3 linked regions of the Arabidopsis thaliana genome follow. Each later gene encodes a partner of the first gene's protein in a complex. Each region holds a gene or a part of one and is shown on either strand. Other genes may lie near its edges.

Evidence for each region.
Region 2: TAF7 (region 1) and TAFII59 share a complex: the UniProt entries of both Arabidopsis thaliana proteins name them as parts of the TFIID complex.
Region 3: TAF7 (region 1) and HAF01 share a complex: the UniProt entries of both Arabidopsis thaliana proteins name them as parts of the TFIID complex.

What each region holds. Positions count from the first base shown.
Region 1 is NC_003070.9:20,628,003-20,631,756, forward strand, and holds TAF7 (TBP-associated factor 7), read right to left. Parts: upstream 1,691-3,754; 5' UTR 1,489-1,690; coding exon 1,374-1,488; intron 1,000-1,373; coding exon 866-999; intron 769-865; coding exon 649-768; intron 503-648; coding exon 152-502; 3' UTR 21-151; downstream 1-20. Other genes in the region: SCL33 (SC35-like splicing factor 33), read left to right, coding at 2,674-2,816, 3,040-3,117, 3,685-3,720. UniProt on the Arabidopsis thaliana protein: TAFs are components of the transcription factor IID (TFIID) complex that is essential for mediating regulation of RNA polymerase transcription.
Region 2 is NC_003070.9:1,405,470-1,409,223, forward strand, and holds the start of TAFII59 (TATA BOX ASSOCIATED FACTOR II 59), read right to left. Parts: upstream 2,063-3,754; 5' UTR 1,960-2,062; exon of another isoform or gene 1,737-1,959; 5' UTR 1,716-1,736; coding exon 1,590-1,715; intron 1,490-1,589; coding exon 1,403-1,489; intron 1,174-1,402; coding exon 1,072-1,173; intron 979-1,071; coding exon 870-978; intron 589-869; coding exon 488-588; intron 412-487; coding exon 274-411; intron 187-273; coding exon 91-186; intron 1-90. Other genes in the region: AT1G04960 (golgin family A protein (DUF1664)), read right to left, coding at 2,552-2,731, 2,989-3,045, 3,148-3,225, 3,328-3,360, 3,462-3,536. UniProt on the Arabidopsis thaliana protein: TAFs are components of the transcription factor IID (TFIID) complex that is essential for mediating regulation of RNA polymerase transcription. Required for proper pollen function. May stabilize the interaction of TFIID with selected promoters.
Region 3 is NC_003070.9:11,855,108-11,858,861, forward strand, and holds the start of HAF01 (HAC13 protein (HAC13)), read right to left. Parts: upstream 1,659-3,754; 5' UTR 1,457-1,658; intron 1,245-1,456; 5' UTR 1,155-1,244; coding exon 1,109-1,154; intron 403-1,108; coding exon 299-402; intron 124-298; coding exon 61-123; intron 1-60. Other genes in the region: AT1G32760 (Glutaredoxin family protein), read left to right, coding at 3,144-3,754. UniProt on the Arabidopsis thaliana protein: TAFs are components of the transcription factor IID (TFIID) complex that is essential for mediating regulation of RNA polymerase transcription. Core scaffold of the TFIID complex.

The sequences.
Region 1 (3,754 bases):
TAAACAGAATCTTTGGTGTAGTTTGAACGCAAAACAACTTTTCCATTGAAAAAGGTCGAACAAGACATCATCAAATCATGGGGACATAATTATCCATGATTTTCTAAGACAGGACTTGCGCAAACTCTAAGCTTTCGTAAGAAAAATCTCTTTATATAATAATAAACTCACATTGAATCATCAGAATCTTCTGATTCACTTCTCTCCGGTTCAACTCCTGTTGGATTACTAGTGCCTGTCTCAGGAGCTTCAGGCTTTTCAACAGGTGTAGGTGAAGAAGAAGATACTTTCTTACTTGCATTACTAGCATTCTCGTTCGTAGCTGGTTCCTCTTGCTCATGTACCTACACCAAAAAAAGTTCAAATAAATGAAGTTACTAAATCCAAGGAGCAAATATAGACACATCATGTGTCGAAAATAGAAAGAAAAGCTTACATTTTCTACCGTTCCGCCACTCAATATATTCAACAAGTCTCTCTCAACCCGCTGTACAAGCTCCGGCTGCAACATTTTGGCAAATCAATATGTTAACTTAATAGAAAGAACTTTGGAGTTCCAAAAGATACGTTTCACTACAGACTTTCAATCATAATCACAAGTATTAGTGAAACAATGTTGATGGATAGATAACAACAAATGAAAATTACATTAAGGTCAGGCTCTCGACGAAATCTCCTCTTTCGAGCATCCTTCATTGGAGGAGTTAGACCATGTCTGTATTCAACTGTATTAGGCGCAGGATCACCAGGCTCCCTAACCATGATCATCTGTGTGCCAAATCAAAGCATCCATATTGAGTTTTAGTCCAAAATTACAGAAGTTAACGCATATAAGTAAAAGATGAATCAAGTAACTTGATTTTACCTGCCCAATATCAGCAGTTTTGACTAATGCACAATCATCATAAGTTTTAAAAGACTCAACAACTGCAGGGAGATCAAGCAGAGAAGCCGGGAACTCGTCGTTTCCAATCATAAACGTCCCGTTTCTCCCATCCTCTGCAAATTCAGTTCACACAAACATTACGTATCAAGTTTGCTCCAGAGACAATATGCAAATGGATTTCTAGACAAACTATAATGATGCAACAAGAATGTCTTTTGGCTTCTTTGACAAAACAGACAATTCACAACATTAAGCTGATCCAGGAGACACAAATCACAAGCTTTGATCCTTAATCAGATTCAAGAATGTCTTTTGGGCAAACCAACATTCAAGAACTCATCACGTGACACAAGGAGCAATCCCCGAAACGATCCAGACACTAATTTCATTGATTGACGACTAAAGGACATAAATTTAAGAAAAAGGATGAAACTTTAACCCAGATGTAATGTGCCAAAAAAGAGAGAAACCCTTTAAAAATTGGTACCTGAAAAAAACAAATCCAAAGGGATTTCGTCGGAAGTAGAAGCATCCTCGCTTAAAAGCCGATCAATTCGTTCTGAAACAGACGGTGGAACCCTAAGTATGAACTGTTCTTCCATTGTAGATACCAACAGCTTGACTTGAATTCTTCTTCTTAATCAATCCAGAAACGTGAATTCGCGAACGCAGATCGTATCGAATACGTATACTTCGGTCTGTTGATGTCGTAAGTCGAAAAGAGACGAGAATCTATTGAACTGAAACACGAATTCTTTGTTATGTTAGAGAGAGAGAGAGAGAGAGAGAGAGAGAGAGACATTATAAGATAAACCTTCTAGAAGTATCCTTTTAACAATTTATTATTTTATTTCCCTCCCTAAAGGTTTCAAGATTTATGTTTTGACCAAAATAATTATAAAAGGTACAAACAGAACCCAACAATTGGTGAAAAATCACCAATTTGCTATTTAATTCTATTGAATTTTACATTTTTAGTTCCTCTTAGATAATTGATCTCACTAAGTATAAATGTATAATGATAATAAAAAGGAAGATAATTTAATTACCAGAAATTGGAATGGAGCATCTATCAAATAGAAAACTTTAAGGGGATTTTAATACTTTAAAATAATTTTGAGGGGGTTAAATGTAAAACGTAAATAATATAAAGAAACCCTAATAAATAAGTCGTTCATTGATCAATCTTCTCCAATTCTTGCAGCATCACTTCTCCGTCGTTCCTCACCACCGAGATTCGTTCACCGGTAAGTCTTATCCCTGATATTTTGCTCTTCTTCCCAACCGTATATACCCGTATCTTCTTCTTTCTCTGTCGAATAAACTTGGCTTTTCCGACTTCGATTCCTTCAATTGTAAACAACTTCGTTGCCCGTACAACTTTTTGAGTCCGGTGAAAGATCCCGTGACGGAAAAAACTGTAGATCAGGCAATTATTATGTCTATACATCGATATAAAGGATTGAATCGTTCATCTTAAGTAAGTTTGACGAAAGTTGTGATCTTTTGTGCCTATTCACATATAACGTTTCTTAGCTCCTATCTTTTGAAATTGAGCTGATTCGATCTCTACCTGAATTGCATGTGATCTTATTTTGATATAATTTACTATTCAATTAGAAAATATGATCTTTCTAGATTGATTGCTTCTTTAAAGTTCTCTTAGACGCTGGTGTTATAGCTCTTGTGTTTGTGGTCTCTTCTCTCTTAAATATCCAACCTCTTTTGGTGTATTTTCTAATCTAGTTTGTGTTGACTGACTGATAGAGAGATTGAAGCTTGACTCAATGAGGGGAAGGAGCTACACTCCGTCACCACCTAGGGGTTATGGGAGGAGGGGTCGAAGCCCAAGCCCTAGAGGCCGATATGGAGGTCGTAGCAGGGACCTCCCGACCAGTCTTTTGGTTCGCAATCTACGCCATGATTGCAGGTACATACTTTTGACTTCTCTATTATTTTCTTCAGCCATTGTGGATGATGTTATTGTTTGCACACCTCTTAAGCAAGAAGACTTGACACCTCTTAGCATATTTTGGCATGATGTTCTCTTATCTTTACTGTAAAGGTTTTCAAAAAGTTGACGTCAATGTATCTTCATTTCTTGGCTTTTAGCAAATTGTAATTCTCTTCTTACTCCTTGTCCTTTTCTTCAGGCAAGAAGATCTCAGGAAGTCGTTTGAGCAGTTTGGTCCTGTCAAGGACATTTACCTGCCAAGGGATTATTATACCGGGTGAGCATGTTTTGTAAATAGGACAACCAACACTTGATTTTTACTTATGTTCTGATTAGAAAATATCCCTATTTTCACATCTTCTTTCTTGATTTGTTTACTACGTTTATCTGCCTTTCCTTTTTCTTTCGGTCATCTCTTTGTGTCTTCTCATGGATACTAGGGCCTTATGAGAATCTTCTTAAAAACTGATTTCATAAATTAAATTTAGGCTCCATATTTTTCAGATAGTAATTTTCTGTGACATGACAATAGACAGTGAGCATACTTGTGGTCTTAAACCACTAGTTTTCGGTGTCGTTAGGTGGATTAGTCGTTTAGAATTTAGTACCTGGTGAGACCTCATAGTTTTTAGTCGCTTAAGGAAAAGGATACATGATGATATGTTCCATGTCTGAACACACTATGAGTGAGTTAATTGAAGTTGTTGAGGTTTAGCAGTGAATCTAAAGAATTGAAGACATCAAAGAAGTAATTAGAGTTCTTATGAAGATGTTCTATATGGTAGTGAAGAATTGAAGTGAAGTTGAGTTTGTATTCTATGTGAAGATGAATCAAGTCTTCAAGAAGTCATCTTTGTACTGACACTTGCAAGGCTAGCAGGCAAGTGCTTGCTTTTTTCATGTTTACTGATATC
Region 2 (3,754 bases), about 19 Mb from region 1:
GAAACCCAAATCAGAAGCCTAAAGAAAATGGAGCTACATGATTCTACAATTTTTTAGATAGTGGCAAAAGATAATCCAGAGAAAACTTACATAAGGTTCTATGTGTATGTGAGGATTCTGTAGAAGACTTCTAACAATGTGCATTAGATTAAACAGGAGTCGGAAGTCATTTAAGCCATTTGAAACCTGCACAAGTGGAGAAAATTAAAACTGCAAAAACTTAACGTGGGTCTTATTGGTTCACACTAGTTCCTCGGTGGTGCATAATGTTACCTCATCAGCAATGAAATTTGTAAAATATGGAACTAGAGGATGAAGTCCTGAGTCTGAGGCCAAGCTCACTAATGCTTCTTTATACAGAGGAGGATTTGACTTGCTCATTGCAAGTTCAGCAATCTTTTGGAAGTATAACTGTGAAGAGAGAACAACAGATAAGTCCTATGTATGTAAGGATATTACCCTATGATATTTAGACTGCACCATATACCTGAAGTTCCCTAGATAGTACATGCTTCACTGGTAGCCTAACGTCAATAAGAGGTCCGTCTTTTTGTTCATGGATTTTGGTTTCTGCAGGTGCTCTAATGACTAGAGACAACACAAACAAGTGAAAAATATAGTCAAGATAGGAAAGAACAAGGATTTCTTGCTCATGCGGATCCGCAAAACAATAATACAGATGGATCTGAAAATATGTATTTTGATCTTTCAGTAACATCAGTAAGCTCACCACTTAACACGGGGTAACTGTAGAAAGAGGTTTATACACCTCTGAAACGTCATTGTACATACTAATATTTGTTTCATGTTGAAAAATTCATATAATGACTTTACAACTCTAGCCCAGGGCATAAGATTGAGAGACAAACCTTCTAAAGGAGCATTTTCTGGTATAGCTGGTTGCACTCCTTCAATAGCCAGCCAGTGACAAACAATTTCAGTATCAAGGGGAGCTTTTGGCAGCGGGGCTTCGATCACCTAGAATCATGACATTTCTTGAAAACATAAGGAACCCAAAATGAAGAATTTAACTGAAACAAAAAAAACATGCCAGCTTTTCCAACATCTTACATCTTTGAAATCCACTTCTCTGTCATCAGTGTAGAACAAATCGCGATGTCCAATAGCTTTTCTAAAACGAAATGGCCCTCCTGAGGCAAATCCATATATCGGCTGCAATAGATATAATCACTCTCAAAAAGATGCCTTTGATTCAGTTGACTACAATAGTGAAATATGTGAAAGCAATGTGTAACAGATGGTGTTATTCATATGCACCAGTAAAGCCAAACCTCAAAACTAGAAACCATATATCTTTGTCACTCAACTACAAAAACCAGGAAGCTTACACAACCAAAACTCTAGATAATGGGAAGTAAGAAATAGGTCATCGAGTTTGTACCTCAACGTTCCTTAAGTTGAGAGCACCATCTACATCCGAAGCTGTTAAAGTCGTTCTCTTTGAGTGACGCATGCATTTGATAGCTTCCTGAAAGGACATCCAAAGAGAAGGTACAGAAAGATCAATATGCTGATACCAGAAAACTCACCTCAAGAACACAAAGACATGATTAGAAAAAGAAGGTAACCTGCATGATCTCTCGGACACGATACTCAACATCAGGAGCAAGCATAAGAGCAGCTTCAGGTAACAAGTTGGTAATCCCAATACTTTGAGCTATTACCTCAACCGTTTCCTTAGGTACAATGCTCATCTTCCCCAGGCTGCTTATCCACTGTGGCGATACAAGGACACAGAAGAAACATCAACAGTGGTTATATTAAGTAAGAAAAAAGCACAAAAAATCATTGGAACCTCCCAATTAAACCATTGTTGGGCATACACAATGAATCGCAATTCAACAGCCCAGAAGACAAAGGCTGCTTCCATACTCCGTAAAAGTGTGAAATTTGTCCCGTTAACCAAAATTCGAGCACAAAAATAAGTTGGAAATTTACATGAACCGGAGAGGGATTTGCGTTGAGCGACGAAGATCCAGACACTTCACTTGAGAGGAAAGAAGCTCCGATTAACCGATGCCAAGCCTCTTGTTAATATAAGAAGCCGGGCCGGGTTTTTTAATTGCTGTCAAATTCACCCGGTTGGACTATTTCGGGTTAAATTAAATTTGGGCTGTCTCTATATCTATTTTGGGCCAAGGCCCAATAAGAGCGAAATATTTTATTTCTCTGCCAACTAAAGACAATTAATCCTACGAGAAAGGACGAAACAAATGTTTCAAGACAGTAGTTCTGTCTTCTGTGGTAGTTCTTTCTATTTTCTACACAAACAAAATTGATCCAAACACAAAAGGAAAAAGGAGCACAAAAGTCCAAATCAATGAAGACATCAACATACGTGAAAGCCTTAATCACACTCTTTCTTTACAAACATCAAGACCAAATATAATTAGGGGCAAACCAAATTGTTGGTGGATGCAATAACATATGTAGATTTTTCTTCTTTTTACATGAAAAAATAATTGCCAGTCCCAGTATCAGAATTTGGGACGAATACAAGCAATTTCTTTGTATATCAACCAAAATAATATTAGGATAGTCCTGAAACATCCCGTACCCAAGATATTCCACCTGGAAACGCTCTATGAACTCTGCTTCTTCCCGCTGCAGTGACTTTTGTTTTTTCCCCCATCACCATAATTTCTTTCGCCATAACCGGCTTGTGTATTACATTTGCATCCTCTTTGCCTTCCGTCAGAAACCGCAGACCCTGGAGTTTCCATAGTTTTATAGTTTTAGAAAGCCAAAGAAACATCATGACATGAAATCATCAAATAACAGCTACTACCACAAGTATTTTCAGGTTCCAATTTTTATTCGAATAAGCTTGATGAGAGATTGCCTTGAATATATGCAAATTCAAGATCAACCATCTCGTTGAATTTTTTCACTATAAGCAACTTTTTTGCGTCAACAGAATGGAAATGCACATTTATATGATGGAAAAAGGTATAGTAGCATTCTTACAGAGAGAGAAGTATTAGTGGATGGTTTTCCATCAATAGGTAATCTCTCACCAACATCCTAAACCACAAAGCCAGAAACAAGATTTTTTTCATTAAGGCCTATAACTACGTGAAAAATAAGTAAGAAAACGTTTCACTTAATTTGTAAGTTAACACTCACCTGAAATACTTTAGTACTTGTGCTGTCTTTAACGCCTGCAACTTGACATAGATGCCATAGTCCAGAGAGGGTCACATCCTAAAATTTTAACAAAAAAAATATCTGTTTGAGATCAATTAGTTTTAAGAAAATTGATAGCGTGAAGTGGTTTGTAGTATCTAATGGTTGTAGACAAATTACTTGTTTGCTTTCAAGACTTTCAATCTTCCCTTCCTGTAAAAATTTCATATAAGAGAGTAAAGATATATTAGCCCCTTTAAAATATGCATATTAGAGGGCAATGATGCATATTAGAGGGCAATGATGAGACTTACTATTCCAGAAATCATTTCATTAAGTTGCTTAAAATCAAACCCAATTTGCGAAATGCTTGATCTCATCTCAGTAACCTGAATTGAAGCAAGATTCCATGTGAGCATTAGCATTAAAATGAATATCAAAGAAAGGCATAGATGGAGTAAATCGCAGATATGAGAATCAAGCTGTAATTTGAAAGAAACAAAGGACTCTACTGTACATGTGAAGAAAAACAGTTCAGGGCCAAAGAGATAGGACGTTAATAAATAAATACTCTACAATCTTTTGGAATTCCTAAATGTGTTTTAAA
Region 3 (3,754 bases), 8.8 Mb from region 1:
GCAGTTCACTCGTCTATAAACTTTAGAAGATAAAATATTAAAGAGTGTGTAGAACGTTACATTTATATCTGGTAGAGATGAACCCAGCTTATCTGCCAATGCAGAAAGATGTTCTTTGGCGTCCTGAAAAGTTTAAATGTTAGCATTGGCACAGGTATGCTTGGTGGAGAATTTGCAACTCATAGTTAATAAAATACATATATCCTAAGTCCAGAGAGAATAGACAGAAAAACTGAGACCGATAATGAAAATAATGTGTTCAACAAGGTCATCATACTGAAAGCGTAAAACAGATTACCTCATCAAGGTAATCAGCGTCCAAGTCCCCAGAGTTATCAACATTTCCAAAGATGAATCCAAGGTTAAAACCCCTGCTGTTGTCCTCATATTCATCATCGTCATCTGCAGCAGACATGTAAAATATTGGTGTTCACCAAACAAATCTTGGCAGACATGTAAAATATTGGTGTAAAATGGGAATGCATGTGATAACTGATTATCATCACGAGTATTCAGAAATCACAAAGATTGCATGTTAACACTCTTGTTAAACTGCTAAATCCAAGGTCACATAATCATTGGATTCCTCTCCATCATCTTATCAGGCTACAGTAGCCTCCATCTAGTGAAACTACTATTCCCATTCTCTTCGTCATCTAAGATCCTACAAACTCAATTCCCTCTAGAAATTTAGAAAAAATAATCTTAACTATACCCTAGAACATGTCCAGGATCACTCAAGACTGCTCCTTTTCTACTTAAAGAAATCCAAAATATTCAAAACCGTAAATCGGTCATGAGCTAGCCTAAATGCACCAAACACTAGCTAGACAGGGACATCTCTAGTTTCACAAACTGTAGTAATCCAAAATTCCACAACCTAATATTTCCAATCTCTTTGTCAATTAAGATCCTACAAACCAATACTCAGAATCACTCAAGGCTGTTCCTTTTCTACTTAAAGAGACTTAATCCGAAATATTCAAAACCGTAGAACAATCATAAGCTAGACAGGGGCATCTCCAGTTTCAGAAATCATGTCGACAATGGACTGGACCGGAAAAAAGAAAAGCAACAAACTTTGATAAAGAAAGCAACATATATATACCTGAGGAAGTCTCGTTGTGGGAACCCTTGCCATTGGATTCAGCCATATTCAAAGATTTAACTACAATGGTGACAATCGGGAGACGACAAGGCAATTGTCCTTCCCAAATCCCCAACCATTAAAACTCAATCAAAACCTTCAAAAGAAACAAAAAAAACTACACAATTACAAGCCAACCTAAACGGACCTGGAAACAAAAAAAGCTAACTTCTTTATCTGAAACTTCATCAAAAGAGTCTCAATTTGGCTTTAAAATCACAACCAAATCGAAACCCCATTGATCAATTTTCGAGTTAAGCTGAGTTGCAATCAAAGCATTGGATAAAATTGAAGAAGACGATACGATACCATTCACTGATACGAGATTGTTGGATTGGAGGGTTCTTTCTTGAAACCCTAATTGAGGGTACAAGTAAGCTTCGCCGGAAAGGTAAACCAGCTCAATCGGACGAGACGGTACGATGTCGGAGAGAAGTTCCGAGGTAAGCAAACTCTCAAATCGGAGGAAAAAAAAAAGTAATAACAAAAAAAAGAAGAAAATTGCGAAGCGACCAAGACAAGATTGTGAGGGCATTTATAAAAGTTTTATAACCCGACCCGAATAAAGTTTGAGTCCGGGTCTAATTTCTTAACCAGGAAAAATCAATTTCGTTGTTTGGTATGGAGGTGGTTAAGCAGAAATAGAGTCGGTTCTGAAGTAATTTTTGTTGTTGTTTAATCAGTGGTAATTTTACGAATTTAATAGATATATACCTATGATATTTCTTTAAAATATCTTTCTACCAAAATTGCAAAAGAAAATTGAATTTTAAAAGTATTATAAAAACATAACTGTTATAGTTCTACATTTAAATTTTCAATTTTTAATAATATTTTAATCACTTTAATTTTATTTTTTCGATCGACTAACATTCTAATATCCAAATTTAAGGCACACAAGTTTAATTGATAGTTTTATTTTTTTCATCGAATAACATCGGATGTGAAACTCTTTATTGCATACCTTGTACATATATAAAAATCAATAACATGTTGATTTTAATTATATAAAAAAATTTAATATTAAATAAAACCAGATTGAATAAAAATGGATATTAAGAAAATATATAGGTTCTTTTATTTTATGGACCACTGCGTCGGTAACTATGACGAAGTAAAACGGCAGTAGCCGTTAAAAAAAATAAAGTAAAATGATCCATATAGACAGATCGGAGATGTCGCTGAAAAAATAGAAGTGTCGTTGGAAAAAATAGAGATATTGATCTAACAACGTAGGAGTCGTGAAAAATATAGCGGCCTAAATGAACATAATCCAGCTTTTCTTCCATTGTCAGTTTTGAACAACCAGCAACGAATTTTATAATAAATTATGCCATTTATTTCTCATTTCGTTCTTTAATTTTTAGTCATCAAATTTAATCGCAACGACCAATACAAGAAGAACATGGTATAATCATACCAAATCATTGATTCAATATTACCTTATTAGATTTTATAAAATTCATTATCCATTCAACAATTGTACCTCAACATTTTCAAATGTACCTCAACAAGCAATTTTTTCTTTATTTAGTTTAACCTAAACAAGGAATTTATTTTTATTTTTACCATAACCATCATGAACTTTGTTGACTTGTTAAATGTCTCTATCTCCTTCTAACGAAATTATCAAAATCAATTTCTGTTCCTTATACTCCAACCAAATAGTGGTCCTGATTCTAAATCCTAGTTCTAAAATTAAGCCTTGTATTTTCTCTTTTTTATTAACGTAAAATCAAACAAAACAAATATCTCAAATATTTTGTTAAGAAAAAAGAATTCTTTATTCAACGAAAAATATGGATTAAAAAGAACACCAAAGCCACGTGCATTGTCACTTCCCAACTTTAGAAAAATTGTATTTATATAAACAAGTTTTATCTAATTAGCAGTTTTATGTTATTTTGTCTTTAATCTCACTTCACCGTCTCTCTTTCACTCAATCTCCGTGATTCATTTTTTCTCCGACGTTGCTTAATCCTCGAAATCTCCGGCGATGGGTGGTTGCGTCTCCTCCAACCTCCTTACTCCGACCGATGACAGCAGCTTCTCTCACCTCACCAGCTCCTCCTTAAGCCAACATTTCGTCAAGCTAACTTCCACCACTTACGGTCTTCTCAATCTCGACTCTTCTTCACCTTCTCCTCCGTCTCCTTCCTCCTCCTCCTCCGCCAAATCCGTTATCACGCCAATGACTCCGCCTGAGAGATTCACTATCAACGGTAAGGAGGCGGCGATGATGATGGTTAAGTCTGAGCCGACGACGGAGGTTATTAACTTCTGGGAGCTAATGTCAGGTTTAGACGGCGATACTTGTCGATTCTCTCCGATTCCGGTGAAATGTAATGGATTTTCCGGCGGATTAAAGAAAGAGAACTCCGATCCTAATTTGAAAAACCCTAACGATTACGAGGTTTTGAAACCGTTAGATCCGAAATTAGCGGAGGAATCTGAGAGGTTATGTGACGGCGGAGAGAATCGCGTTGTGATTTATACGACGTCGTTGCGCGGTGTTCGACGGACGTTTGAGGCGTGTAACGCCGTGAGAGCTGCGATTGAGAGTTTTGGTGTAGTGGTTTGTGAGAGAGATGTGTCAATGGATAGAGG